4 linked regions of the Lonchura striata genome follow. The protein of the gene in region 3 interacts with the protein of the main gene of each other region in a pairwise test. Links are inferred from orthologs where the notes say so. Each region holds a gene or a part of one and is shown on either strand. Other genes may lie near its edges.

Region 1 (7,504 bases), on a different chromosome or scaffold from region 3:
CTATTGAGAACTAAGATGAAAATTAAATACACTATTGATGAAAAACCTACGTAATCACTAAGGAATAAATCAACAATAAAATCTCAACAGCTAAAAGTTCTCTTGCATTTGAATTTAGTTTTAATAAGCTATTCTAATTTTTAGCTATGTGTGCAATGTATTACTTTTATATTCTTGATATAATATTCTATTGATTTGATTCTGCATCTTTAGTTGAAGGTATCTGCAGGTGCACCAAGCTTGTTTATACAAAGATCTTAATTCCACAGAGTTTTTAAACTCAGTGCCCTTCCTAAATTGGCAGGTAGGAGTAGAAGAAGCAGTTGGCACAATTCCCCTGAGGGGCAGGGAGTTCTCCATGCTCAGGAGATGCAGTCTCCTGGCACTGCAGATTACAAGTGTCATGCCACTCAAGTAATGAGGGGAGTTAACATCAATGTACAGTTTACTTCTGTGTAAGGAGACAAGATGAAAAGCTAAAAAGTACAGTGGACACAGGCAAAAGAAATTGATCTCTCGTGTCATTTTAGAACCAGGACTCATAAAGGAGATGGTAGTGACAGTTCAGTGTGTAGAAAAATTATACAGAAAAAATAAAAAGGGTGAGAACAGAGGGAAAAATGTTTGGTGATATTTGAAAACATTATGGACAACATGGGAATAGAATGTAAAATTACAGGGACCCTAATTAAGAATTATATTTTACTTCTTTGAAACTGTCTTGGTATATCAGAAAATTATCTAATAAATGCAGTTTGAACATTAGTTGCATTTTTCCTGTAAGTATAGGGTTTTGGAAACTTTGAAGAAAAATGGATTTTTAGGTCAACTTCAATAATATTTACCAAAAAAAAAATTAGTAGGAGGTACAATTTCATTATTTGCTCCATATGTTTTTGATATGTGAGTCATAATGTATTTGATCAGATCAGTGTAAGATAGCCTCTGAAATAATTAAGATAACAGATTAAATTTCTCTTACCCCATAAGCTTTGAATATTTGGGACCCAGAGCTCTGATCCTTGAAATCTCTGGCAAAACTTGGGTTGACTGGTGAAAGATCAGACTGCATTAGCTAAATACTAAAGCAATCCTTTTAAGAAACCAGTTATTGTGCTTTCCATCTCTATACCTGCAACAGATTAGGAAGGGTTAACTACAGAAATGTTTTCTTCTATGTTTTGCATAGGTAAAGGTCAAAACTGAAATGAAAACCAAATTACAATAACTTACTCCTAGTGAAATCTACCCTCTCTGGGAATTAGGGCCTTTCCTTAGTGGGATTACAGGATAATTTAAGATACTAATATTCATATATTCTTTCTGGGAGTCTGATAATAGTGTTTCTTTTCTTACTGTGCTTAGGGGACTGATTCCTTAATCCCTATAGCATTATGCATTGTACAAAAACATCTCTGCAAGCAAGGTTACCAGGAAATGAGGAAAGGGGGAAAACCCAATAAAACACAGGGATAATTCTCCAGATTCCCCTATTCCCACAACAACAAGGAGCTAAAAAAATATTTCACATATATATTAGGCATTTAATGACACTTTAAAAAAAAACAAGATGTGACAATGGTTATAAAAGACACCTTTGGTAGTCCTGTAAGAATAAACTCAAAGTGTATTTGGGGATGTGGGATTCTGCCCACGAGTTTCAACTGCAGCATAATGCTTTAATTACTTACATACTCACTTAAAATTGAGTAGGTAGTAATTAACTCATGCTCTATTTATATGCAGGGCAAACTAGCCCTTGCTTTTCATGCCTAGTATCCTCAGGAACAGGATCTGCAGCATAGATTAAGTAATCTCAGTAAAGAATACTTCAGTAAAAAACTTAGTAAGTAGCTTGTTTTTAATATTGAAAAGCTCTGATAGATAAAAAAGACTTATTGAGCATAAGGGCAGTTAAAAGCTGTGATTTACATTTTTTTTTTTTTTGCAAAGATGGCTTTTTATCCAGAGATACTTTTCCTTTATTACAGAGTAGAAATCATATTTGTACTGAATACAGTTTGCCTAAGACCACAAAGCTGATCTTTCCATGCAAAACCAGCTTGCAGTCTGTTAAGTGTTCTGGCATTCACAAGCTTATGCTGCTTTATATCTTCTGACCTTCAACAGGGTTTTCTGGAAGAGGCGTAAGAAACTGAGTATAATGGTTTGAAATCAGTTGTATCTTGCTGTGAGTACATCAAAACAGATAGTCAATATGTCCATGTTTATAACTGAACACATGTCCATTGCTTAAACTTGATGTTCTTGCTGTCTTTGTGGCATATGGCATTAAGAGATGTATTTTAGGATAAACATATGTTTCCATCATGCAAAACAACAACTAGTAACTGTTCCACTTAAGTGCTGTAACAGCCTAAGTTCATTCTGAAGAACTGCAGGAAAGAGAAGCCTTTACCAGCTCTATGTGTCTGCTTAATGCAACAAATCCTCTGCAACCTAAATGGTCTTGCAAAAATCATATAGTAATACATACTGACTTCCAGGGAAAACATGGCTGAGCAATGTCAGGTTGCATAGCATCAGGAGCCCATAATTTATAAATGAGAATTGGATTTGGAAGACAAGACAATGTATAGGATGCAATTTACATGACTATACTTTTCCCATCATTACTTTTGGTAGCCTAATTTCCTTTCCTACTCAAAAATCAACAAATAATGATTTGGTCTTCAGCATAATCTTGCAAAGCCATGGGGCTTGTTCACTTCTGCAGCTATCTCACAGGGTAAAGATACTCCTGCTGTCTTCTTCTGCTTAAAGGGTTCTGCCTTTTAAGCAAACCCCAAAGTTTGTATGCTTACTTTAACAGCGATGACAGTGTTGATACTGGATAAAAGTTGGAAACTGATGCTAAGTTGTGCTGGGGTTTTGTTTTTCCTCCAGTTACCCATTTTCAAAGTTAAGGATATTAAAAACTTACCAGAAGGTAAAGCTTGTACGTAAAGGTAGTACTTGCATCACACTAAATAATATGGTTGAACAAGGCAGACTGGCTTTTGGGTGCAGAACCCTTCTAGAGGTCTAAAATTAACGAAGATTTCAAAGGTAGTACAAACTGCAAACAATTGTTCAATAATTTGGTTTTTGCTTCTCAGTCCATCTCTGAAGAAAAAATCAGGGCTACCACTGGAGCAGAGGTGACCCAAGAATTTTTTAACATTGTCAGAAAAGGAGAGGGGTGAAGGGGCAGAGGAAGGGGCTTCAGTGTTTTTGGAATGTGCAGCATGAGCAGTGGGGAGACGGGGATTATAATGACCTCTAAAATCAGTTTCTCTATTAAATCCTTAGTTTTACATAACCACTGGGATTATAAATTTTATAGGTTGTTTTTGGATAAACATTTTGTAGGTTTATCTTGAGGATCTGTTAGGTCTGAAATACTCCAGCAGGAATAACAGCTTTACGAAGCGTGTTTCCACAAGTTGTTTAATTTATTGATTGCACACAGTCACTCTACTGAGTGCTGCCTGTTTATTTTCACCTACACAGGTACGGCAAAATCACCTGGTGCAAAGGACAGGGATTATTCCAGTCCAGGAAATGAAAACGTAGAACCCAGGAACGCTCCGACCTAAAGCACACCCACGTTCATTTGGAGTCATACACGAGCAGACAGCAGTGCAGGAGAGCCAGATGAGCTGTGGCACAGCAGCACCAGGGAGCGCACAGAAGGAGCGCGGCGCCGGCCCGGGGCGACCTGCGGCGGGGTCCAGTGACAGGACATGGAGTAATGGCACACACTGAAGGAAGAGGGATTTGGGTTAGGTATCGGGAGGAAATTCTTTACTGTGAGGGTGGTGAGGCACTGGAAGAAGAGGCTCGTGGATGCCCCATCCCGGGCAGCGTTCGAAGCCAGGCTGGAAGGGCTCTGAGCAGCCTGGCCTGGTGGGAGGTGTCCCTGCCTATGGCGGGGGTGTCGGATCTAGATGATCTTCTAAGTCCCTCCCCGCTCCTTAACATTCTATGGTCCTACGATTGTATGGCACTCGCACCAGGGAAAGCCCGGAGAAACCCACACGACGGGCGGGCGCAGTCCGAATTTAACCGAGTGACTTAAACACTGCACGTGGACCTCTAAAAACCTTCACAAACTGAAGCGGGCTGGGGATCAACCCCTTCCCGCCCCGCGGGTGGCGGTGATGGGCATCGCGCCGCTCCCGCAGGGCGAGCAGGGCACGGGCAGCGCCGGGGCAGCCTCCCCGGCGGCGGGACCGGCAGCTCGCAAACAAACACCGCCCGCCCGCGCCGCTCCCGCTCCTCGGGGCCGCCCGCGCCGCCCGCGCCCCTCCCGCTCCTCGGGGCCGCCCGCGCCCCGCCCGCGCCGCCCGCGCCGCCCGCGCCCCGCCCGCGCCCCGCCCGCGCCCCGCCCGCGCCCCGCCCGCGCCCCGCGCACGCGCGGCTGCCCAACGGGCGGGCACGGGCACGTGACCGGGGAGCGCGCGGGGCGGGGCCGGCCCGGCGGCGGCGCGGAGGGGAGGGGGAGGAGGCGGACCCATCATGGCGTCGATGCAGGTGAGGCGGCTGCGGCGGAGCCCGGGGCAGCGCCGGGGCCGGGCGGCGGCGCGGGGAGCCGGGAGCAGCCGTTCCGCCGGGTGTGTGCGTGCGCGGCGCGGCGCGGCGCGGCGCGGAGGGAGGAACCGCCCGGGCAGAGGTTGAGAGCGGCGAGGTCCCGGGCAGCGCGGCCGGGGAGGGCAGGTGGCGGCGGACGGGCCGGGATGGAGGCGAGGCGCGCAGAGGTGTGAGGGGCGAGGCCCGGACTCGGGCGGGGCGGGCGCGGGGGGAGGCAGCGGGCCCGGGGCGCGGGGGAAGAGGCGCCTCAGGGAGGCGTCAGGGGCGATGCCGCCGCTTCCTGGGCAGGCGAGGGAAGGGCGGAGGGATGCCGGCCCCCGGGACTTGGGAGGCCGCGGATTCGCTGGGCGCCGTGGGAACGTATGGCACCGTGCGGGCTGCGCGGTCAGCGGGGCCCTCCCCGTGTCGGCGTGGGACCGTGACCAACAGCCCTGAGCTCCTGCGATTCCCCCGCACGAGGGGGACTGGGACAGGCACGTCCTGCTCCAAGCCGCCTGCTGCCCGTGGGGTTCTCTTTCTCTCCGTAAAATGAGGTTGCGGTGTGGGGTCAGCTCTGGGGACAGGTACCGTCTGGCTTTCTCGGCCGGATGGTATTGCTGTAGGTACAGTAGGATGGAACATCCTGCTGCCTGACAGGTATTTCCAGCTGAATTATTCATTCATACCTACTCCGAAGGGGTTCTTAAACAGGGGCTGCAGAAATTTCTCTGGTAGAATGGATCGCTTTCACTGTGCTGCTTTCAGTGGGTAATGCTTTATTATGACTGGGGCAGGAGAAAAGAGCTCTAGGTTTTGTGGCAGTGGCCCCTTTCTCTCCTTATTTAACCAGTAACTTCTCTACTTTTTCTCGGATATTTATAGTTTTCCATTTTGTTTTTATATTTGAATCATCTAGATCTCATTTTGGTCCAGTACAGCTTACATTTTTTGTCACTAGTAATAGAACAGCATGGAAAGAGTGTATAAAATGAGTGAAATTTGTTTAATTTTCATAATAAGCTGGATTTAGCATAGCCAAAAAGGATTTAAATGTCAAATTATTGAACTGTATGGGATAAAAATTATTCTCCTGAAGTTTAGAAGCATAACTCCCCCTTCCTCCCCCCATTCCTTGGTGTGTCTTTCACAGTTACTGAAATGAAACGAGATCTAGAAATTGAACGTACTGTACAGAATGTTCTTTTAGCAGTAGCTTAGCAGGTAGTCTGATGTGCCTTGGTTTTATTAGCTCTATCTGTCAAATGCATTTTTGCAATGCTCTTCTTCTAATGTACAAACTTTTACAAGCTCAACTGCAAAATAGAGGCTGTAGTTTCTTAAGAAGTGTCCTTTAAAAAACCGTGTGAAAAGTAGGAAAATGGCAGCTGTGAACCGGGAAAGAGGCACGCTGTAAAGGGACTTGGCAGAGCTGTGCTGTGTTGCTGTCTCTGGCCTGGTAAATGACCTTCTACAGCGTGCCTCACCCTAATTCCTGTTGCTCCCTCTGTAAAGGGAGAAAAATGGTTACATATTAAATGAGGTTGTTGAGGATACAGGAATGACAAGTGTTGTCTAAACGTCAGATGTGTGGAGGGTAATACTCACTTCCTGAAATACACCCTGTTAAGTCTGATGTTGTAATTGCATTCATTTTAGAAATACCAGCTGTAAGATGGCACTTTTTGTTTTCTTACGTGATGTTCTGTTGTCTTTTGATAAGAGATTCAAGGACATTTATGGAGATTTTTTGTCTGTATGTTGCTAATTGCATAATGCTCTAATAAATTTCTGATGTTTAGTAATCTGCTAATTTAATAATGTAGTTTAGCATGTTGGAAAGGAGTTGTAAACTGGAAGCATAAATGCAAATTTAGTAAGTGAACTTACTAAATTTAGTAAGTTTATTGTAGACATGCTCCCAGATGACCAAGATTTCAAGACTGAATTCTGTCAATTAACATTTAAGTGTTCAGTGTAAAAAAATGTTTTACAAAGGAAACCAATATCTATAATTTTAAGTGGTTTTTTTTTTTTTTGGTCCAGAATCATTTATTATAATTACTGCTGTGTACTAAGTTACTTGACACAACAAAAAGATGTCATATTTCTGATTAAGTATAGTGTTTTTAAATACACAGTGTTTACCTGAAACGTTTGTGAAACTCATTGCCATCTCTGGCTCTGCTAGTGGTGTGACACTGTACTATTATGACAATATTATTTATTTTATTGATAAAAATGATACACTGGTGCACAAAGTAAGTTCTAATTGCTTCTTACACTGCTGTAATTTTATACAACAGTGTATGATGCCCCAAGTTAATTACATTTATTTTAACAGATTCACAGAAAAGTCTCAGATTAAGTTACAAGAGTTATCTGATTAGCCTGTTCTTAGTCAGTCTTCAGTGAAGCTTTGAAACTTGTAATAAATTGCCTCTTTGCTGATGGCTCTGAGCAGCAACCTGAACAGTTACTGCAGTTCAGTGGATGCACAGTAATTTGTGACTCTGAGTCTTTGTATGTATCATTAAACTTACAGTGATTTTTATCTGTGTGGACAATCTGTAATGGGAGTTTTCTGTAACCCTTTTTTTCCGTGACAGTAGAAGCCAATGCTTATGAGACCTTGTGTTTTGTTTTCTAACCACAGTGTTGTTGCTAATTTGCCACTGCTGGACTGGTTTAAACCTGGTTTGCATAACTTTAGGCAAATCATATTTTTTCTTAAAAAAAGCTAACACACCTTAGACAAGCCTTTAAAGGAAGAGCACTTATTTTCAAGAATTTTCCCAGAAAAAGCCCAAGCATGTGCTATGTTTTCCTGGATAAAAACACAGAAATATTCTGAAAAGGTACAAGTAATGTAGAACAAGGGAATAGAATGGATTTGCTTTAGAAAATTTTGATATAGCATCTTTAGTAATCTGAA
Region 2 (7,957 bases), on a different chromosome or scaffold from region 3:
TCAGGGGGAGGGGGGGAGGCACTGGTGGAGTGGGTAATAATCAACTTTCCACCTTCCAAGCGGAAGTTGTTTCCAGGTATGTCAATGGCATTATTAAATTGCAGTCTTAGTCATCTACACTCTGGACTTTCAATAGCAATCAGCCAGGCTTATTAGCCTACCTGTGCACACCTCTAGCTTCTCTAACCTCTCCAGCACTCCTTGGCAGCCAGCACCTACTTTCAGTTCACTCACCCAGGCCTATATACAACTCTCTAAGCCTATTACTCAACACATTCAAAGGCAATAAAGACCTAAAGAATTGTTTTAATTTGCATTCACCCACTATTCCATTCATATTTTAGATTCCATTTTGACTTGGAAATGAAGGGATGAGTAACAGCAATTCCTATTCCACAAACCTGCCACTATTTAACAGCCACAGAACATCATGCACTTAAATGAGATAACACAACTTCCTCCCTTCTCACCCTCAAAAAATACCTACTCATTCTTTAACTGAACAGAATACTGAAACTTATATCCCCTTTACCTCTCTTTCCTTCCTCCTCTTCAATCATTTTAAAGAGGACATAAGCATGGCTCTATTAGGACAGCCAAATACACACCAAAACACATACCCTAAAAATCCCAAAATACTCCAGTACATTCATAGTGAAAAAAAACCTTAAAAATCAGCAATTATGATTCTTGTCATCACACTAATCTATATGTGCTTTATTACATAAAGGTGAATATTAGAACTAATGATCCTAATTTCCTGGTTTTCCTTTAATTTCCGATACAAAAATCAAATACGAAAGTTTGAAAAACAAAGTGTTAAAGGACAAAATAAATTTTCCACACAATTCTCCCCAAAACATTTAACACTCTTTCAGGTAATACATCTTTCTCCTGAAATGTCTTGCCAATTAGCTCCTATAATCCTATTTTCCCATTTTTATCCATATTCTCTTTTGTTGCAGCTACAGGAAAGCAATGGGAAAACTCACTGTCTATACTGTTGAAAGCTACAAAAACAACCCACTGTCAAATAGAGAAATTGAACCAAAAGCTATTTCTCCATACAGATGTGCCACTGCTTCAAAGAAAGTATGATAAAAATATCTATTATATATCATTTGACTACAACAAAGCTAAAACATCAGGATAATTGTCAGATATGGAATGGTAGAGGCGGATTAGGAGATCTAGAACAAAGTACTTAACATAAAGATTATTAAAAGCGTCCCTCATTTTGCAACAGTCTAGGCCAGCCTTTCTGTAAAGTATATATAATTTACATTAACAAGACAGGCTCATCAGTACAAGGCAAGATGTCAATTCGTGTTAAATAGCAATTGTATTACTAAAACTACGACTTAATGAAAAGCTTCTGTCAAATTCTGTAACCTTAAGCTCTCACGTGAAGATTTAAAAGGGTCCTATGGCTCCAATGCCGTTCTTCATTTCACGCTTTTCTCTCTTCCTTTCCCACACGCTCAGATGTTTCAGCAGCATACTTTCAGCATTTGCAAAATCCTGCCCAAAGAGCGTGGCCGATTTCCCACGGGCTCCCTCCCCACCCTGGATGAACTCGTTACTTCCCAAAGTCCACTTCCTCTTCCAGCCCTGGACCTGCCAGCGCTCCCAACGCCCCTCCGCCTTGCGCAACATCCGCGGCCTCCTCCCCACATTTCGGACAATCTCCGATGCGACACTGACATTGAGATTTTTTTTTTTTTTGTTCCCAGACCACTAGCACAGACTGACAGCTTAAAGGGCTAACGATGTGCTTTTAACCCCAAAGAGCCACGCATAATAAAACGAGCTACAAAGACAGATACGGAAGGCATTAACCCGCTCTCCTTCAGCTCTTCTGTGGGTCAAACTGCATTTTAATAGTAAGCATTTAAATTATATTTAAAAGTGCCAGCAACATCTGCCCAATCAAAATTATTGTTCACAGCTCCGACGACCAATTCAAAAGATAAAACTCCCGAGATATTGTAACAGCCCGATTAAACAGCTAAAATAAACCAGGAAAAGCACTAATTCTCCAACAGAATTTTTCCCCGAGAGCACACGTTAAGCAAAGGCTGACGAACTGATCTGGAAGGAAGAAAGGACGAGGGATACAGGCAGGGCTGCGATGGGGGATGGGAGACGTTAGCGAAGGGAAAATGAATATTCCTCCAAGGACTATCAATACGTTTAACACATCTCCTCGGAAAGAAGAGAAATCACAAGCAGGCAGCTACAGGAGCAGATAAAAGGGGAAGGAGGGAAGGAGTGCCCGATTATTCCCAGCTGACATCACAGACGGCAACCCTGCAGAAAAGGGGCTGCCAGGGCGAGGAAGCGCTCGCAGCCCCCCCGCCTCGCCTCTGTCCCCTTTATGTGCTCAGGGAAGCAGCGGGGCGGGCGGACGAGGAGCCCCCGGTTAATTGTGCGAGAGCCGCTGACCACCGGCTCCCCGGGAGCGGGGAAGGGCCGCGGTGACAAACCTCCCGGGGCTGGAGGGCAGGAAGGAGGCTGAATCCCGGCGGACACTCTCCCTCCCCCGCCGAGCTCGGAAGCGGCGGCGGGCACCGGGAGCCGGCCGAGCCCCGGGGCACACAATAGCAGCTCAGCCCCAGGGATGCGCCGCCCGCCCGCCCGACACCCGCTCGCCGGCGGGGGATGGGGAAGGGGCTGCGGGGCACCCCCCGCCCCGGGGCCGGCAGAGCCCCGCCCGCGCCGCCGCCCCTCACCATGAAGTCGCTGGCGAAGTTGTCCTCCCCATTGTGGTCCGTGTCCTTCATGGCCTGGACGCGCTTAATGAATTTCCTCAGGATCTCCTCCTGGCTCATCCTGCCCCGCCGACCGCCCTGCGGAGCGGGAGCCCAGCCGCCCGTCCGCTCTCCGCCCGGAGCCCCCTCCGCCGCACGACCCGTCACCCGGCTGCCTTCCTTGCCCTCGCTGCCTCGCCTCTCCCGCGCCCGGGCCTGCCCGCGGCCTGCTGGCCCCGCTCTGGCTCCGCTCCCGCCCCGCTCACGGCCGCCCGGCCGCCCGCTCCATCCTCCCCTCCCTGCGCCCGACCCTCCCCGGAGCCGCGACACGGACACGACACGGCCCCGCCTCCCCCCGCCCCGCGCACGCGCGGCGCCCGCCCCGCCCCGCCCTTTCCCCTCTGCCCCGCCCCGACCCGGCAGCGCTCCGCGCCCATTGGCTCTCCCGACCGCCGCCTCGCCCTATTGGCGGAAGGGCACGCCAATCACTGGCCGGCCGGGCTTCGAGGGAGCGCTCGCTGGGCTCCACGCCTCGCCCTCTCCCCCGGCCCCCCCCCGTTTCCCATGGATGGGATCGCCCGAAGGGCGCCTCATGGAGCGCTGGAAGGGACCACTTGGCGCGCGGGGGAGGCTGAGCGGAGCGCGGTTTCCCCTGGCCGGGGCACAATGGGCGGCGGTGGGTGCCCGCGGCGCCGCGCCGGGAGGCAGCGGCATGTCGGGGCATGTAGTCGCGACAGCGCCGCGTCCCGGAGCTGGGAGCTCACGCAGCATCCTACCGAAACGCCCGGATCAGACGGGTCCCGCCCCGGGTGGGAAGCCCGCAGCCGTGGGAAGTGCCGGGGGTCCGTGCCGCGAGGCGCGGCGGCGGTGGACGCCGAGCAGCGGGAAGATGGCGGGGCGGGACAGGGGACGGGCGCGACACCTGGCCAGGGACCGCTCCTCGCGTGTTTGTATGTATGTATATTAAGGGTATATATATGTGTGTGTTTATATTAATTTTTCATATATATATAGATATGTAAGTGTATGCTCTATGAAGTGTACATATATATATATGTGTGGGCGTGTGTGTGCATATATATATATATGTATGTGTGTGCAGATAGATAGACAGAGAGATCTACTTAATAAAAATGTCCTCAGGCGAAGCTGATTCATGGAAGTGCTGCCGGCAGGTGTCTGCGGGCTCCGGGCCGGTGCCGGGCGGGGAGAGGGTCCCGCGCCCCTCGGCACCGCAGCTCAGACACCCCGCGCCTTCCTATTTTAAACATACCCTAAAATCTCTGCCTTACGTGGTGTTGGAGGATTTGGCAACGGTGCTATTTCATTGTTAATGTTATATGGAAAAGTTAAACACCATGTTTGGTGTCCTGATGACACTTATAACTTCTGCTTAAGCAAAGTAAAGCAATTGTAGAGGTGTGTGTATGTATAGCCTTATAGCTTAATAAATATAGCCAAGTGAAGTCGTTCAAAATGTAATTTTATTGATGAAGATCTACACGGCCTTGAGTGATGCTGTTGATCCAGTAAAAGCTTGTCACGCAGGCAGATAAAGATCCAAGCTGAGAAGTATAACCCAGCTAAGTCACTCCTGCCCAATCGCCCGTTCCCTGCCCCGGGAGCGTGCGGCGCTCGCAGTCCCACCAACACAGCCCCTGTCGGACAGGACATCGAACCGGCTCAGGGAACTCACTCAGCTGCAATATAGCTCCATAGAAAATCGGCGTGTTTTCTTCTCTGATCATTCCATTAATCTGGTTTTGTTACCAAAAGAAACCTACAAAAAGCTTGGTCTTTTTGTGTTGGTGTAAGATACTACTGTTTTAGAAGGCTGCCAAAGAACACCAGTTCCACACCAGAATTAGTACAATAGCACATTACCACCCTCAGCCTACCAACTTACTATCCTCCTGATGGAGGCAAGCTTTGAGATAGGAACCTGAACTGTAGCTGCTGATGCATGGACACACATTTCCTTCTCCTGCATCTGCTACAGACACAGCCATCTCTGGCAGAAGGGTAGGCTGGAAAATTGACAGGCTTAGCATTTTAACAAGACTTGCTGCAGACTTCAGCATCTTATTAAGGGGTTGGGTTTTTTAGCTGTTGATGTTCATCAGCTAATATAGAGAAAAGAGACATAAGGACACATGAAGGAGCTGGGAAAGGGCATCAGTTCTGTGCTGCAGTTTAGTGAAGCCTTTAGTGAGCACTCCACACAAACACATCAACTGTCAATGTTCAGTCTCCTCTCCATGTCCTTTGCACCAGCTTCCATAATAAGCTAATCAATTGGCCCCAAAGAGCCACAAGGTTATCTGCCTTTCTTGTTTTAATTCCTCTCCGCCTTTTCCAAACCTCCTTTTCTAAAATACCAAAAAGCAGCATTAAAGGGAAAGACAGAAATTAGAGAGAGACCAGAGACCACAAGGATAGCTGGGTCTTGGATCATCAGATAGTTTCTCTGTGCCATCTTGCTGGATTTCCATCTGCTTAGGAAGGTTGCTGTTTGTTCAGCAGTTGTCCTGGCAAACCTGCTCCCAGTGCCAGATGGCAGGTAACTTCAGAAAAGTGATACTTGAGATTACACAACCAATTAATGAAGTCTTGAATGTTATATGGTTTTCTGCATTTATTCACATAACCAAGTTACAGAAGAGGAAAAGAAATATCATGATGAATCTGTATCGTTATTGCCTGACATGGAAAGGACCCAGTTGTTAGTCTGGCTTAATTCACCATCTGCAACTCAACTGTAACAAAGTGTTGTAAACCAGCAAGTGTAGCTGTGGCCTTTCATTTGGTTTAACTGATAAGAAGGTTATACAGTCTCAGAAGACAAAAAAAGCCCCTGAACTAGGCATGTGTCACTAGCCAGAACAAAGTTATATATGAAACAAAGAAATTAGGAATAGTGTGGAGAACTGTGCCAGGCATTGTCTGCCTGTGTATGTGTACATGTACCTGGGAGAGCTGCAAACCAAACAGCACCAGTTTTATCTCCCACAGCCCTGCAAATGGTGCATGAGGTTGTCTCATGTCTGTGCTATGAACAGACACCTCAAGCCTCAGCAGCAAAAATAGCATTTTAACTCAGACTTTTGATCTGAGGCTCATACTATCTGGGTTAACCCCAGACACCTGACCAGTGCAACATGTGTGCATGAGTGCCTATTTGTGTAACTGTAGGAGCAGGGCGGAAAAACAGACACACAGCATGAATTACTCACCCTATAGATAGAACAGGAAGTTTCAACCCAAATCTGTAGAAGAAAATTCTAGTTTTGTCTTAACAATCCATACAAGTATGGTCCTTGAAGAAAAACAAGTAAATCACCTACAGCTTCTCTGCTATAATCTCATTTTGCCTTGCCGTGCACTGCTCCAGCTGCAGCAGGGAAGGAAGACAGACACTTTTTTCTGTTCCAAGGTGGCTTCTCATGTTCCCACAAGGTAAACATGGTGTAAATTAGTAAATGTGCTTCCTGACCTGCATACCATGGTGCTGCCCAGTCAATGGGTGGGACTACCACACATCCCAGTTTACCAACCTTCAGAGGTTTCCCTCAAGTTGCGATGGGGCACAGGCTCACATCAAAGCTGTTTGGCTTCAGTGCCTCTGTGGCTTGAAGCTGTGTTCAGAACCCAGCACATATCTAGCCAAAAGTATGTTACAGAAAGAAATCAAAGAACTGGGGTGGGAGGGAAGGGTGCAAGAACCCTACAGCTCTGAGTAAGGGCATCACCTCCAGCAGTGTTAATACCTCCTTTGTCCAGCAAAACAAGACCTTGTGTATTCTTGTAATTTTGTGTGACTACATTACAATGATTGCTCACTTTGTCACCGGTTTCTTCTCCCCGCTGCAATAATCTGCAGACCCATGAACTTTCACTATTTGGAGTAATGCAAAAGAACCATAATTCACCATAACACTTTATGTTGTTGTATAATTAATAATGTAATACTGAAATTATTATTAAATTATGATAAATATATCCTATACATGAAAGCTTAATTAATTTCATCTATACTGGGTATCTGAAAAGTTTTTGAAATCAAAATTATTTAGGATAAAAAATAGATGTTAGCATTTATAGATTTCATAATAACACTCCTGAAATATACTTTAAGTGCAGTTAGTTGGAAGTTTCTAAAAATGTGGTGTTTCAATGGAAAATGCTGTTTCTGTAAAAGTTACATTTTCCACAGGAAACAATTTTGGCAATGTTTTTCTGCTTTCCGACAAAAACAATGCACTGTTATACTTACAGATGCAGAAATGTCTTTACCATTGAAGTCAGCACAACTTGGGTTAGGGACTCAGCACATGAAAGAACTGGAGCATGGAGTATAAATGCCAGGAAGCTGTTGAACAGCTCAAGGGTACACATAAAAACTAAGTCCAAGTGAAACATTTGTCTTTGATCTGACAAACTGAAATACAATGTGTCTTTCCATGAATGTCAAAATGTTTCAAGCTGGTTGAAAATAGTTAAATGAAACATTCAGGAATATTAGAATCACATACTTTTTATATACTCTTATCCTCAAACTTTTCAGTATTAGTCACTTTTGTTTCTGAAGATGATAAAAATACTGTATCAAATTTTCTGGCTGATCTTCAGCTACAATTTAACCACTTAGATTATAAGTAACAAACTAAAATACAGCAACCTCCACGGAGTCTCAAAATTCTAATTTTGGAAACAAAAGGCATTGTGGACAATAGATCTAAGTAAGATACACTGTATCCTTTCTATACTACAAAATAATTGAATTTCTGATTTAAATCTGAAACTAATCTTATTTTAAATTAGTCATAAAGATTTGATCAGTGTCTGTATAATATGTTCCATTCATATTCATTAAGTGCCATGTGACTGCTGAATTTCTTGACATTTGCCTCTATTACTCTAAATTCAGCAATGTCAGACTCCTGTAATTACCACTGAAAATACTCCTACTACAATTTAATTTTACCTAGCTTGCTTAATTTTTATTTATTTATTTACCATCTTCTGGGATTCATTGTGTGATATTGCTAAAACCCTTTATATGTGACATTTCTTATGCAGGTAATAAGAATTTTAGACCAGAATTACTGAGTTCCATGATCAGGGCATATTTTGAAATCCTGACTAAGTGTAGCATATGCCCCCTCCCAATACCAACACAGTTTCTGTACACAGAAGAAACTTTGTTC
Region 3 (6,849 bases):
GGAAGTGGTGCCAGTACCTTCCTATCTCTTGGCCAGAAATACCTGCATTCCAGGGGCTGCAGCTGCAGTTTTGAGCAGCAGGCTGGAGGGAAACTAAATAGAAGGAAAAGGCAATGACAGAAATTACTAAGGAAAAGCAACAATGAGTGCAAGAACAGAGAATGAATCTCAGAAAGACACTCCGTGACTGAGGGGAAAAGATTTTCTTGGATAGTGTTTTTCATAACAAAACAATTACTGTTGCTCTGCCTGTTAACACAACTCCATTAACATGGAACTCGGCTGATGCCACACAGACACTCCCCCATTAACATAGGAATTTCCCTACCTGTCTTATATGATGCTAGAGAAGACAGGTAACATCTGTCAGGCTCATACAGCAGCCCAGCAGAATATTAATCCATCAGCAACTGCCTTGCACTGGCTATCAAACTCGATCTGAATTTCTATCTCACTAACATTTCCCAAAAAATATTATCAGAGGATAGAGAACTTCTGCTAAGAAGCACATTTTAGTGCAGACTTTGAGCAACTGTCCCTTAAACCATTACAGAGAATGTGGAGTACATATAAATAAAAACTGTAATTAAAAAATACACAGGTTTTTGCTCAGGCCATGCTACAAAGAAAATAAAATTGAACTAAGTGTGGAATAAAATTGAACAAAGTAGTATGGTACTATCACTGCTACATTTATTGGGAAAGAGAGGATAAAACTTAAACCTGTTATGAGGAACAATTTTCCTGGAAGACAGCACATCCTGTTCTATGAAGTCTGGAGAACTTTGGGGAGGGATGAATGGTGCTCTTTCTCTGCTAGCTGAGGGAGATCTCTACATTGAGGTAGGTTCTGAGGAAACCCCTGCTTATCCAAAAGTTTCCTGATGGTGGAGCAGGAAGCTGTTGTTCAGGGACACGGAACACAGGGAGTGGGCGCAGCAATCAGAGATCAGGGCTCTGTGTTGAGGCACCCACCATGGGGCAAACACCTTTTGGGTGTCAATCAGAAAGGCAGTTTCTGTTCAGTGCACAGACCAAATACAGGAGATAAGTGCTCGCTGAAGCAAACCACATGAATACATTTTCCTCTCACAACAGAACCTTATGAATGCAAAAATATTTGCTGATCTTGTGATCTGGGGGGCATGCTGCACACTTGTGCTGTGTTGTGCAATATCCTGTAAGTTTTCACTTTTAAAGACTTACTGTAACAGCTAAAGCTTCTATCCTGCAACCAGATACATTCCTGCCCTCTTAATCAAGCTGGGCAATACATCCAGCCAAAAAAAAAAAGAAATCCAGAGATGCTTTCCTTTAAATAAGGTGTTAGCTTCAAAGCTAAACAAGGGTTTGAGTCATGGCAATGTGACTAAGCACAGAAGAGAAGCTTAGGGAAGAAAAGCCATGAAGAACCAGCCTGGCCAGATCATCAGCTGGCATTAATCACCCTCACACTACCCCCATAGCTTTATTTTCCCTAAAGACCAAGGCATTGAAAAGTAACTATACCAAATGTACCAGCTGTAGAAGTCAGGTGGCTTGTTTTCCAAGGAAGTTCAGCAATGCACAGGCTGAAGCTCCCAGGGTAGCACTGGCCCACAGTTGTGTCCCACCCTGTGCACTGCACTGTGCAGTCAGTGTGTGCACAAAGGAGGAGAATCTCACATAGGTGTGGTCATGCACAGTCAGTCCTAACATCAACACCGACTTTCATATTTCCTCATTGTATTTTTATTCTTTTTAACTGTTCAAATCTAGTACTGCAGTGGGGGTGGGGAGGGCTTCTTGGAAGTGCCTGGAGGATGGTGGTTCACTGAAATGTGTTTTTGTCTCTGCTCTCTGTTTTCTACCAAGAGAGGGTTTACCCTGAAGCGTGGGTGGAGAGAAAGAGACCACAAGGAGAAAGAACAGCCAGGCAATGGCAGGAAGAATTCATATAGTTTCATGTCTTTCTTTAAGTCAGTGCTCAATGCTGGATAAATGATTGCCCAGAAAAGAGGCAACCACATTACATCCTGTTTACTTAACTTTGCAATGTTAGAATTTTGATTTTGAACTTTCATTCTCCAATTGCAAGAGAACCTCAGATTATCATAGAGAAATTACTAAGGTCCTTTTACCTTGTAACTGCAGAGAAAGAGCTTGAAAACAGGAGACCAAAAGGATTTTCAAACAAAAGTCAAATAACAAGTATGGAGCGAATCTCCTCATTTCAGTATTTGCTAGTTTTAGCAAATACTAAACTCAGCTGTGAGTTTGGGCTTAGCTGGGGAGTGGCACTGCTGGTCCTTTCTAACCTGTGCTGCCTCACAGCTCCTGGGCTCTGCATGCCTGGGAATGCTCCTGGCAGCAGGGAGGGAGCCTGGAGAGAGCTGAGCAGGAGCATTTTGCTCACAGCTGCTGGCTCTGCTCTTCCCCAGACAGGAGGGAATTCAGCCTATAATTAGCAACAGCTCACCTGCTCTGGGAGCCACTCACAGAGCTAAGGACACTCACTGCAAGCAGGTTCTTACCACTGTGACACAGACAAATCCATGTCCCTTTCAAAAGAGGTTTCTGGCCCTAGTACAGGATCTGGGAATGTCAGTGGTTTCATGGAGACTGGATATATTCTTTACACTGCATCCTTCTGCCCAGGATCAAACACTTACATTACCAAACACTATGTTTTTGCTGGAGACAAATTTGGATTTTCACTAAATTAAATTGAGAACACAGAACAACATTAAATTAGTTTTAAACTATATACAGAACCAAGCTGTATTTTAAAAGATTTTAAAACACAGGTACATTGAATATAGGAAACACATAGTAAATGCTCACTTACCCAAAAAGCATCTTTAAACTGCAGCTGGGCCATTATTATTGCTCTGCAGAGGGGTAGGAATGCTTCAGCTAGTCCGTTGTGGAGTGAGAGCAGCAGCAGGCACAGCTCTGAGCCTTGTCACTGCACCCCAGCCCAAGCAGAGAGTGCAGCACATCCACAGACCTGTCCCTCCTGAAGTCAGGCTGGTGCCAATAGCATGGGGCTGTTCCAGGCAGCTCAGAGAAATGACCTGTGGCTGTGAGGGACAGAGGGCAAAAGAGCTGTTGCTCACAAACAGAGACAGGCAAGTGCTCAGCACCCGCACCCCAAACCTGTTTCTCTTCTGGTAAACAGTTAATATTGAAATGAGGAAGCAAAGAGATGTCAAATGGTGTCAGGCTGCTCCTTGCCATGGGTGTGTGTGAGCGGACAGGAAAAAAATAGAGGGGGAAAAAAAAAGGCACTAAGTTCAGTGATATGATTTGATCAGCTGAAGGAAGAGAGAAAACAATTACAGTGCAAAAGAAACCACCACAATACATAGAGACAAGCTATTCTCTATTGCTGTGGTCTTGCAAAGAAAAAGAAGCTAAAGAAACATAAGTGCCCCATTTCTGCAGCACCTTCTGGGACTGGCAGAGGCCCACGCCTTTGCACACAGGAAACTTAGCTCAAAGCTGCATTTTGCATCTGGAAAGGCTTTTCAGGACTCAGGTTAAATTAAGAAGCCTGAGAAGTGTGCAGGTGTCTGCACACATTTAGATACCTGGATGTTGATGTAGAGAACACGCCTGATTTGCATGCCCTCACATAAATGTTTATATGAATATGTAAGGCATGTGAAATTTAGAAGTAAAATCCAAAGTCCTCAAAAAGAAGAGCTAAGAATCTGTTAGCACCAGGACCTGAGTGAACCCTCACAGACCAGTGAAGCAGCAGCACTCAGCAGCACACTGCTGACACCAAGTATTTCAGGCAGCTCCCCAAATCAGCTCCTCCAGTTGTTATAACACAGCTGCAAATACCTGAGCACAGAGTAACACTTCTAAAGCTTTCCTGAAACCCTCTCCAAAGCACCTGTCCTCCAGGTGAGGTTGCCTCTGTTCACCTTTTTAGGATGTTTTAAGCATTCTTAAATACCTAGTTTTAAAAATTCACTTGCATTTTTGGGGAGAGAGGGGAGGGGAGGGGAGGGGAGGGGAGGGGAGGGGAGGGGAGGGGAGGGGAGGAGAGGAGAGGAGAGGAGAGGAGAGGAGAGGAGAGGAGAGGAGAGGAGAGGAGAGGAGAGGAGAGGAGAGGAGAGGAGAGGAGAGGAGAGGAGAGGAGAGGAGAGGAGAGGAGAGGAGAGGAGAGGAGAGGAGAGGAGAGGAGAGGAGAGGAGAGGAGAGGAGAGGAGAGGAAAAAGGAAAGTAGTCCTGTGGTGGTTGCCTCTGTGAAAGCTGTCTGTGCACACCAACAACACATCAGGACTTACTGGTTTCCAACTGCCTGTCTGACACTGCTCTGGGTACTGTTGTCCTGCTGCCCTCCAGCAGCAGCCCCCGGGCAGATCATTCCGGGGTGGGGAAGTCTTGCAACTTCCCTGTGCTCCAGCAGGACTCGGGGCTCTGCTCAGAGAGCTCTGCAGCAGCTGGGGGCTGCAGTTACCCCTACTCACTCTGTGGTCAATTTGTAGCTGGTGTTTAAAAGAATTTGCCAGGTTCCTTCCTGGTGGTATGAAGAAGACAGGAATATGCAGGGACTCTGTGAGAGAAAATGAAGTGCAAGCAGAGGAGAGCAGACGAGAGTCTGGAAGGTCAGAGATGTAGCAGGAAGAAAGCATCATTGCATGAGAGTGGGAGGAGAAATGCAAGGATTCACTTGCAGACAATGTTGAGGAGAAAGGAGTGAAACTTTCTTCCAGAAGGGAAAATTCCTTGAAAAAATGTATTTTGAGGGCATGGACACTAGTCATACTTGATCTGTATCCAAAAAGAAAATGATCTTTTTTGAAGTGTTTTATCTCAGTCCTTCCAAACCTAAATGTTTCCTGTTACTATTTCCAAGTTACAGCTGTGTTTTGAAACCATCTTTGCTGCTGTTGGGGTTCATAAAAATGGACCAAGTGTGTTTTAGCCCTCTAAAATGTTATGCTATTTTCTTGTTATTTTTAGTTTGGTTTCCAGCCACAAAGCCTATTATTTGACTGAACCTCAGGCTGGGCTCTATTCCTGCATCCATCCCACCCAAGAGCTCTGGTGTAGCACAGTCACCTCCCAGCAGCTCTCACGCTTCAACGCCATCAGCACTCTGCTGTGGGTGAGCTCCTCAGAACAGCCCAGAGCAGCTCTCCAGTTCGGGAACTTGGATGAGCTGCCAGAGTAGCTGGTGTGAGACCAAGCCCAGCTGTGATGAAGCAGATTTGGGTCAATTTGGGTCTCTGCCCCCAGGTCCCAGTGGCACTGGGTTATATCCATGAGGCACTGTGCCGTGCAGGGCTTTGCAGGGCTTTAGAAGGGGGACACAATTCTGTATCCCCTCTGCTCTACACAGGAACAGGATATCAAGGCTGTGGTGGCTAACAGCTGGCCCAAAGGCCTCAGTTATCCATAATCCCAATCTGATAACCAAAACACAACTAATGACCTTAATTATGGAACTGGGCTGGTGCAGACCACTGGGGAGCAGGCCTAGGCCGGCGAGGACACGAGCAGCTATTGGCCCATCAGGGTTAACCACACAGATCATCAGAGCCACACGGGAGAGCTGCACCTGACCCAAGCTGCCTTGCTGTGTCATCAGCCTTGGTGTGTTTTGTCACGTTCCTGTCTCCAGCATTAAAGGGATTTCAGCCTGACCTGACAGGTTCTCTCAGAAATCCAGCAGTATCAACAAGGAGCCTTAAGTGGAACTCTTCCCTGACAGCCGCTGCATCTCCTTCCATCACTGCTCTTAGAGGTGTAAAATCAGCCATTCTGTTTGGTAACGCCAAGAACACACTTCCTGAGGGTTTTCCCCCAGTAATTAAATTGTTTGGCAGCAGAATGTACCATTTGAATCCATTCTGTAGTAAGAAGGATAAGTCTTGACTTTTTAAAAAAAACACTGTTTTGAAAGCCCTCAAATTTTCTCATTCTTTAGAATGGAAGTTTCATTTAATTTTTAACTATATACTACTTCAAGCAAAGCTTTTTATCAGGGATTTGGGTGGCAAGTTTGGATTTGACAGTAGGCAAAATACAAAAATAGCATCTACAAACATTTTTGTGCTCATCCACGACACCAAGCAAGACATTCTTCAGAGGAAATGTTTTTGATTAAGAAGACAGTAAACCTTTTATTCTACATAGCGAGAGTATGAGGGAGTCCATGGAAAGTATTAAGGCAGAAGACAAAGAAATGCTGAATACTCAGATAATCCCAACGTTGAGCTGGTTGTACTGTTCAGAAGTCCTCAGGCATATTGTGATCCCTTAGAATGGTAGTTTGGCAAATGCCAGTGGAGACTGGAAGGCACTGGTGCAGTCCTTCCCAGCCTCCAGAATCGTTACATCTGAGACACAGCTTCAAACAACGGCTGCAGTGCAGCCATGTCCAAACTCCAACAGCTCCTGGTGTCCAACTGAGCCCCACAGCCTGGGGACAGAGCAGCAAGGAAACCACTGCCAGAGCAAAACCATGGCTAAAACAGACATGATTCAGCAGCTGAGCTCTGCCCACTGTTCTAATTCCATATGAATGGATCTCTGCATTTCCATGTAGGAAATGTCAGGGGCTTGCAAATTATCCCAAATCATACCCATTAAAAATGTTGAAATCACCTTGCCTTCTGTGAGGAGCCAGTCTGTGTTCCCATGGAAACTGAAACTGCAGCCTCTGAACACCTGGCTTGGTTTGTTCCAGCTGCTCTGGACCATTGTGGCTGCAGCTAGAGGCTGCTTCAGCACGGCCCAGACTGCACACCAGGCTCTGCTCAGCCCTGAAACTCAGCTCCCTCTGCTCCTGTTAGAGGGAACTGCTCGAACAGCCTTCCAAAAGCAGCCTCACAGTGCAAGACAGTCCTG
Region 4 (7,436 bases), on a different chromosome or scaffold from region 3:
TACATATCAACCACACTTATAAAATATTTACAGGTTTATCTCACTTTGAACAGATTTCTTCATTATAATGTTTAGAGCTGAAAAGGGTGAAGAACACAGAATTTTAAGCCAATTCTCAATCATCTAAGGATAAGATCTGCAGAATTGTAAGTCCTGGAATTTGACAAACATTGCTTGTTAATTTTAAGATCACTGGTGGCTAAATAAAAATACCCAAGGACTAATAGAGACGCTGAGATGCTTTTAAAAGGAATTTTAAACTTATCTGTCTTCTCTGGTTTACAAGTATAGCTAAAATAATTAGCAAAGTATTTTGTCTTTTTTCTCCTCAAAATCCTAATTATGATTTTATACATTTATATAAAATACTCAAAGCCCAGCAGGCACACACATTCCTGACAACTTCAACTACACTCAAGTTACTAAAATGTGGAAAGGGCTTCTGGCCAGACAACAGTCCACTTTTGAAGATTTCAACTTCTCTTAATCCGTAGGCTCTTAATATTTTGAAAATTGAGCTTATTGGCAACAGGCTGTTTTTCTTCATTAACTTTGGGAGACACTGAGCAAAAATCCCAGAGTTCCAGAGTTCACAAACAGAAAGCCACTAACTGATGCATGTCTGGACCCCAAGGAAGCATCCAAATGAGGGCAGGACCGCTGTAATTGATGCCCAGTTTTGTAGTCTCCATAGACTCAGTCAAGATTTTTGCCCCTTGAACATTCTGTTCCTCTTAAATGACATCTGCAAGTCCGAAGCTGAAGCATATTTGGAATGCAGCATGTGGGAAGCTGTAAGCCTTGTACACTGTGTGATTAGTGTACAAAAGTGCAAAGTCCATTGGTCTCAGAGATTCTAAAATACATACTTCCATAAGAAACAAATTTCCTTCACAATATTTTAAAAGCTTACATTAGAATTATTTTTACCTGAATGTTTCTACACTAATAATTTCATGGTAAGTCTCCAAATAGACTTTCCCAAATAAGAGAGAAGGTCTAGCACTCACCAAAACCATGAAACAGCAATATCAAGCTTATCATTTTCTAAAGCATTAAGACAGTTGTGCCATGTCTACCTGAAGCCAAATTTTAAAATGAAGTTGAGCAATTTCAGTTGCAGCCAGTTCCAGTCAAAGGAAGTCTAACACAACACAGTATTTGCAAGTGAGAGCCTGTAGATGGCCTAAATCCAAGATCTCTTCTGTCTATCCATCATCGTGTATCCCACAGCACACTTACAAAACAATATGCATTAATTTTTTACTGGTAATATTCGACTCTGTCCCTCAGAAATAAAAGACTTCCAATATCTTTATGTGTATTTTTCACATTGCTCAATAGTAAAGGCATTTCACCCCTAGGGGGAAAAATGGTCAAAAAAACCTGCAGCCCACCAGTTCTCAGGTACAGCTTTGTTAAGCTTTACCTGTAGGATCTTCATTGCCATGAAGTGCCAGTTATTATCTATCACATTAACCTTTTCTATAAAATCCACTGTTCGGACAACTGACAATTATTTTACCAAATAAGAGTTCTAGTAACCAGATTTGTGACTTCTGGATAATTTTACTATTTTTGTCTCAGAAAAAGAAGAACCTTCCTAAGAATACAGACATTTGTCTTCCTCCAATTTATTACAATGCTGATGAACACTCCAGAAAAACAAACCCCTCTAAAAACAACAAGCCTTACAGATCTATTTTAAAACTATGTACTTTTCTTTAGGTTCATGTATTCTAGTTTTCTTACCTTAACCATGGGGACCGAGAAAGCTAAAGAAATGTTTGTTTCTTTAATAAACTGGGATGGGAGGGAAGCAGCAATCCCATGAATTGCCATTATTTTTAGCCTGTTTCTGGGGGACACCCATAAAAGCACATGAGACAAGTTTCTCAGCAGAAAGAAATTATGCCAGTAGAACTGTTATCAGAAGAGCAGCATTACTTCCTGTAGTGTCAACTCTGTCAAGCTTAAAGGTTTACTGTGCGGGGAAATTTACACATATCTGGACATAATTTCCTTAAAAATTGTTTTCAGAACTGCGAGTCAAACCGAGGCCTTTCAAGTCTGCATAAAGAAGTAAACTGATGTTCCATAGCATATTTGGTGGATCCAAGCAATTACAGGACCATTTCTAACTCTTACTGTTGTTTTTCATTCTCCTTAAATTACCACATGTAACAATGTATGCAATAAAAAAAGTATGGTTTCTCTTCTACACTGTGCTCATTATCGTTTCCCTACCCAAAAATTAGGTTTCTCCCTTTACTTGCTTTACTTCTTCCTATCCAAATAGAGGCACAAAAATAGATTTTCCTGGGTTTTTTTGTAGTCACACCAATTCTGCCAAAACCTGTTTCCTCTGCCTGCCAGTACACTCAAATTTAATTTCGGATAATTTCGATTTTGAGCTACTTAAGTGCCAGAAGCATAAAGTCTTTCCAAAACCGCTTCTCCATAGTTCACAGCTGTTTTTCCTATTACATCAGTTGAGTTCATTTCAGAGTTCATTCCTCCTTTTGTTCTTGCAAAGGCCCACCGAGAGTGACACTAAATACCCAGAGAGGCTCACGAGGAGGAGCAGAGGGGCTGAATAACACCGCGAAAACGCTTCACAGCGGCACCCAGAAACCAGGAGGGGACCGAGACACCATAAAACCGCTTTAATCTACAAGTATTCGGACGATGCACACCAACACATAAAACACACCCGCCCATAAAGCAGCGGCACGGCTGTCGCCCGCCGGCGGGACGCGGATGTTACCGGGGCAGCGCCGATCCGCGTGGCCGCCGCCGCGCGGCTCCGCCCGCCCGGGCCCCGCTGCGGCCGCTCATCCCGGCGCCGGGCGCTGCTGCCACGCGAGGCAGCCCCCGCCCAGCCCCGCTGGGCCCGGGCACGCCGCCGCCGCCGCCGGCCCCGCTCACCTGTGGGCGGCGGGCCCGCCGGGTCCCCCCGCTGCGTCCATCGCGGCCCCGCCGTTGCTATGGGCCCCCGCCCGCCGCTGTCCTTAGCAACGCCGCGCGGCACTGAGGCGCGCCGCCATTGGCCGGGGCCGCGAGCACGCCGCCCGCCGATTGGCCGCGGCGCCGCGCACGCGCGGCGGGGCGCAACGGCCGCCCCCGTCGCCCGCCGCGGGAGCCGCCCCCGCCGGCAGCGGGGAGCGGGGAGCAGCCCCGGCGGGAGCCGCGGGACACAGAGCCCTTGCCACACACTGCCCCAGGAGAGACCGCCCCGCATACCCCCCACCCCCTCCCCCGTCGCCAAGAGCCGCCCCCGCGGCCCGGCTGAAATCGCGTCCCTCTTCAGCGCCCTAAGGGACACCATCTGTTCGGGCGTGTCCTCGCACGCAGCTCCCGCCGGGTCAGCTGTGGGCCTGTCTCCTCGAGAGCTCGAGGTTTGCCTTCACCAGGATGTCCGCAGCGCTCAGCTTGCCTTGCTCCCGCAGGTAGCTCATGACGTGCGGCCGCCGTCTCCAGGTGACCTTTACTCCGTACTCGTGCTCGGGGGTATCCGTGACCAGTACTGCTGCCGCCTCCCCTCTCCCGCACGGATCAACACCAAATGGCAGCTCTTCTTCTGGATGCCAGGCATGACTACTTGGTGATAGAGTGCTGCTGCATCTCCCGTTCCTTGGGGAAGGAGCCTGTACAGCCTCTGCATCTGAGGGACTAAGGACATCTTGCTCCACAGGCTGGGGAACAAGCTCTCCACAGTTCTCTGGGCTCTTCACCTGGATGTTGGCATTTGCCGCTGTCCCTTTCCTAGGCTGGGTGGGAGAGCATTGTGCATTCTTTATCAAGCAATTTGGATCATCCAAGAGAGGGACTGCATGTCCTTCTGGATTCTCAAAAGTTAAAGGAGGAAATCTGCAGGCTACAGCTCCTCGGCAAGCTCCTCCTGCATGAAATGAACTGTGGTTAGCATCCTGATTATAGGGCTTCTGAGGACCACGATGCTTCTTCTGGCGTGCTTTCAACACCACCGCCTTAGTTGTGTCAAATTGTGGGCATACCTGAAGGGAAAGACATAATAATAAGATAAAAACCCAACCCTTTCCTCCAGACAAATAATACCTACCTGATTCTATTCCCCACCTTTTTTCAGTGTGTTCGTTGAGTAATCTGTTCTGCAGCAAAGCAAATGAGTCACTAACAAAGCTGCTATGCATGAGAAACCTCTGAACTTCAGCATCGTGTTCTGCCACTTTTCTCTGGAAAGTCATTAGGGTGGCAAAAGTGAGCTGTTCTCCGGCAGCTCACAAAGAGCTTGAGATCTGGGTTTTAAAGGAAATCTAATGATGTCTACTCCTGTAACCCCTGAGGATTTAAGAAAGTTCAGAATGGATCCTTTTTCTTTCTGACCTAGCATAACTCAAATAGCTTCAAAGAACTAAATCCTCAGCCTCCCCCAAAGAAGTAGAGGCTGAACTGGGAGAGCAACACAAAATGATTGAAGAATGCCCGCTTAGCTCAATCCCCTTAGATTATGTTAATAGGGTGTTCAAAATCTTCCCCCCAAACATCTTTGTTTCAAAACATAGTTAATTTCTGTATTGTGGAGTAACAGATCACCCAAAATCCACTTCTACAATCAGCTTCCTATAGAAGAGATGGTCCAAGCTCAACAGTCTGTATTTCTGTGAATGATTCTGGACTCATTCTCAAACCCTGAAAATCCTTTCATTACAGTGTTTGTCTTCCTGGTTACCAACAAAAGAGTCAGACTCTGTTTCAGATTCCAGTTTGCTTTTCCCAAGAGCACACCAATCTGAGTTCTTGCTATGGTAACTACAGATCTCCTTCAGCATTCCTAGGTTACAATATAGTTCCTCAAAACACTGAGTGCAATTTAACTAAGGATGGTGATTGTCTAATGTACAGCTGAACTGTTTGACTCCAAAGCCATTTTGCAGGAAAAGAGAAATGATTCTTTAATAATTGTATACTAGCACATACTTAACATAATCCCTGATTTTAAGGATATGGCTTCCGGCTTCAGAGAACATGTAGGGTAGGTTTTACCTATGCAGGAACCTAGTAGTGAAAAAGGTATGAAAAACTTAGATAATGCCAAAAAGAGAGGAGCAGAAAATCAGTTTCCATTGAAACAAGTTGACAGACATTCCGCAGAGGATGCCTCCAGAAGTTACAAACCTATCACAGTTACCAAACTGAGAAATATTTAACAGTTTCAGTACTGATAGCTTCAAACAAATTTTAGAATATTTTAGGAATCAAAGAGCTACCAGAGTGGATGCTTCCACCTCTTCCAAACAAAATGAATGCTTATTCACAGCAGTTATTTCACTTAGTGATTCACAAACTGTAGAGCTAACTGCCTCAAGCAGATACAAAAAAAATTTAAAGAGGAAAAAATTGAAGATGTTCTACTTCAAGGTTAAGGCATTACAAAAATACCTGCAGGTCAACAGGAACAAAGGAATGTTTCATACAGTTTTGAAACCACTCTTCCTGAGTTTGCTTTGTGAAGAGCAGTCAAGCAGCAATAATGTTTAAACAGAGCTCCCCTAGGTGATGACTACTGTTGTATAGGAACAGTCTGTCTTTGCTGCAGCTGTTTGCTTAAAAAAACTAAAGCTTTATATTACATGATATAAAGAGTATTCTAGGACATGGCAAACAGTCCCAAGAAAATGAACCTATCAGAAGATTGGTATGGAGAGACACTACTCAAAAAACATAAATGGAAAAGAGAGCAGGTTAGAACAAATGATTCTGAAGTAAAAACCTATGTTCTCTAAATTTAGCAGTTTCAGATTTAAACAATACACTCAATACTTTAACATCGAACATTTAGAGTTCAGCAGTTATTTTAAACAGCAAGCCAATAAGAAAGGACTCCCCTAATGATTATTTTGTGCAGGGGTTTTGGTTGCTAAGGAAAACAGTGTTTTCCTGATGCGAATAATTTTTCTAGAAGACAAATATTCATTAATCAGTACACACTGCAGACAGTTTATGTCTTCAAGTAACCAAGACCTTAGTGCTTATTCTTAGAATGTCAAGCAACTCAAGCACTTATTTATGCTTTAGACTGATAGAAGGAATTCAGGTCTGGGCTACTAACTTTCCATATCCAGAACAGATAACTTTCTTTTAAGACAGGAGAAACAGGAGAAACTTGAAAACTGTTGGTGTGGGACGCAGGAGGAAAGATAATTTGTACCAACCCAGGCAGCAGAGGTGTTCAGGTCTACAGGTTTTGTAGGCACACGTCTGGGATTCTCAGCCAAATGCAGTGGAGCTTCATAACAATGGATGGGTCCTGCCCGTGGTTTCTCAAGGAAAATCAGCTCTGCCTTCCTGGCCTTGTGGGTACACTTCTTCTTTGGAGGCATCAAAAGGTGTGGTAAAACTACTTAGAAACCTCATGATGCTTGTTGGAGCCAATTGAAGAAAGATGGAAGCACCCTGAGGAGATGCGAAAGTGCTCTCAAATCTGTAGAAGCAAATAAATGGATTTGAAGACAGACTCATTTGGAAACCTCAGATGCAGTTTTTAACAAAAGCAAAACATTTATGCAACAGCACAGTGTATACATCTTGAGGCAGACTTTTTCCCAATAGTGGTTCTTGGGCCTTTTGTTAATTTTCAGGTAGATTTAGAAATGCACTGCAGGAAGGGAAGCTGTTGACCTACTGATACAGCTATGAAAAGAACAAGTCAGCTATGAAAAGAACAAAAAAGCCAAAAAATTTATTTTCTTTTTTTCAATTCAGTCTTGTTTGTAATGCCAAGAAGATATTGTAAGGCTAAGATAATCAGAACTCTTTCCCTTTCTGGTTGCTAACTACCTGTGTGTTTTTAATTTCAAGGGATTTTAAGTTTGTTTTTTTCTTTTTTACAAAACAGAGTTGACATCTCCCGTATTCTACAGATCTTGCATGATTTGTTTTGCCTAATGAATAAGTTTGAACTGAAGTAACATTGTATTTAATTTTCTATTGGAAAACACAGACTCAATTAGGTTGGAAGACCTCTGAAATCATCAAATTCAACCTATAGCCAAACACCACCATGGCTACTAAACCATGGCCCAAGTGCTACATCTTCAGGGACAGGGACTCTACTTCCCTAGCCCATTCGCCTGTCTTCACCTTTCCTGTGAAGAACTTCTTCCTAATGCCCAACTTAAACCTCCCCTGGTGCAGCTTCGGATGATGTCCCCTTGTTCCATCACTAGGTGCTTGAGAGGTGCTTGAGAGAACATGTAGGGTAGGTTTTACCTATGCAGGAACCTAGTAGTGAAAAAGGTATGAAAAACTTAGATAATGCCAAAAAGAGAGGAGCAGAAAATCAGTTTCCATTGAAACAAGTTGACAGACATTCTGCAGAGGATGCCTCCAGAAGTTACAAACCCCACCTGGCCACAGCCTCCTTTCAAGCCCTTGTAGAGAGCGCTAAGGTCCCC

What was found.
Region 1: the proteins of PSTPIP1 (region 3) and UBE2W interact in binary tests that used the Homo sapiens proteins (3 or more experiments, as listed by UniProt). The two-hybrid records come from large-scale screens. The link is inferred for Lonchura striata from reciprocal best matches to the Homo sapiens genes PSTPIP1 and UBE2W.
Region 2: the proteins of PSTPIP1 (region 3) and PTPN12 interact in binary tests that used the Homo sapiens proteins (3 or more experiments, as listed by UniProt). The link is inferred for Lonchura striata from reciprocal best matches to the Homo sapiens genes PSTPIP1 and PTPN12.
Region 4: the proteins of PSTPIP1 (region 3) and TULP3 interact in binary tests that used the Homo sapiens proteins (3 or more experiments, as listed by UniProt). The two-hybrid records come from large-scale screens. The link is inferred for Lonchura striata from reciprocal best matches to the Homo sapiens genes PSTPIP1 and TULP3.

Annotation. Positions count from the first base shown.
Region 1 is NC_134603.1:32,205,249-32,212,752, forward strand, and holds the start of UBE2W (ubiquitin-conjugating enzyme E2 W), read left to right. Parts: upstream 1-4,493; 5' UTR 4,494-4,521; coding exon 4,522-4,536; intron 4,537-7,504. UniProt on the Homo sapiens protein: Accepts ubiquitin from the E1 complex and catalyzes its covalent attachment to other proteins.
Region 2 is NC_134607.1:61,223,781-61,231,737, reverse strand, and holds the start of PTPN12 (tyrosine-protein phosphatase non-receptor type 12), read right to left. Parts: upstream 3,016-7,957; 5' UTR 2,832-3,015; coding exon 2,733-2,831; intron 1-2,732. UniProt on the Homo sapiens protein: Dephosphorylates a range of proteins, and thereby regulates cellular signaling cascades. Dephosphorylates cellular tyrosine kinases, such as ERBB2 and PTK2B/PYK2, and thereby regulates signaling via ERBB2 and PTK2B/PYK2.
Region 3 is NC_134613.1:4,992,991-4,999,839, reverse strand, and holds the start of PSTPIP1 (proline-serine-threonine phosphatase-interacting protein 1), read right to left. Parts: upstream 3,001-6,849; 5' UTR 2,861-3,000; coding exon 2,828-2,860; intron 1-2,827. UniProt on the Homo sapiens protein: Involved in regulation of the actin cytoskeleton. May regulate WAS actin-bundling activity. Bridges the interaction between ABL1 and PTPN18 leading to ABL1 dephosphorylation.
Region 4 is NC_134604.1:31,058,217-31,065,652, forward strand, and holds the start of TULP3 (tubby-related protein 3), read right to left. Parts: upstream 3,003-7,436; 5' UTR 2,970-3,002; coding exon 2,929-2,969; intron 1-2,928. Other genes in the region: RHNO1 (RAD9, HUS1, RAD1-interacting nuclear orphan protein 1), read right to left, coding at 3,366-4,016, 6,195-6,362. UniProt on the Homo sapiens protein: Negative regulator of the Shh signaling transduction pathway: recruited to primary cilia via association with the IFT complex A (IFT-A) and is required for recruitment of G protein-coupled receptor GPR161 to cilia, a promoter of PKA-dependent basal repression machinery in Shh signaling.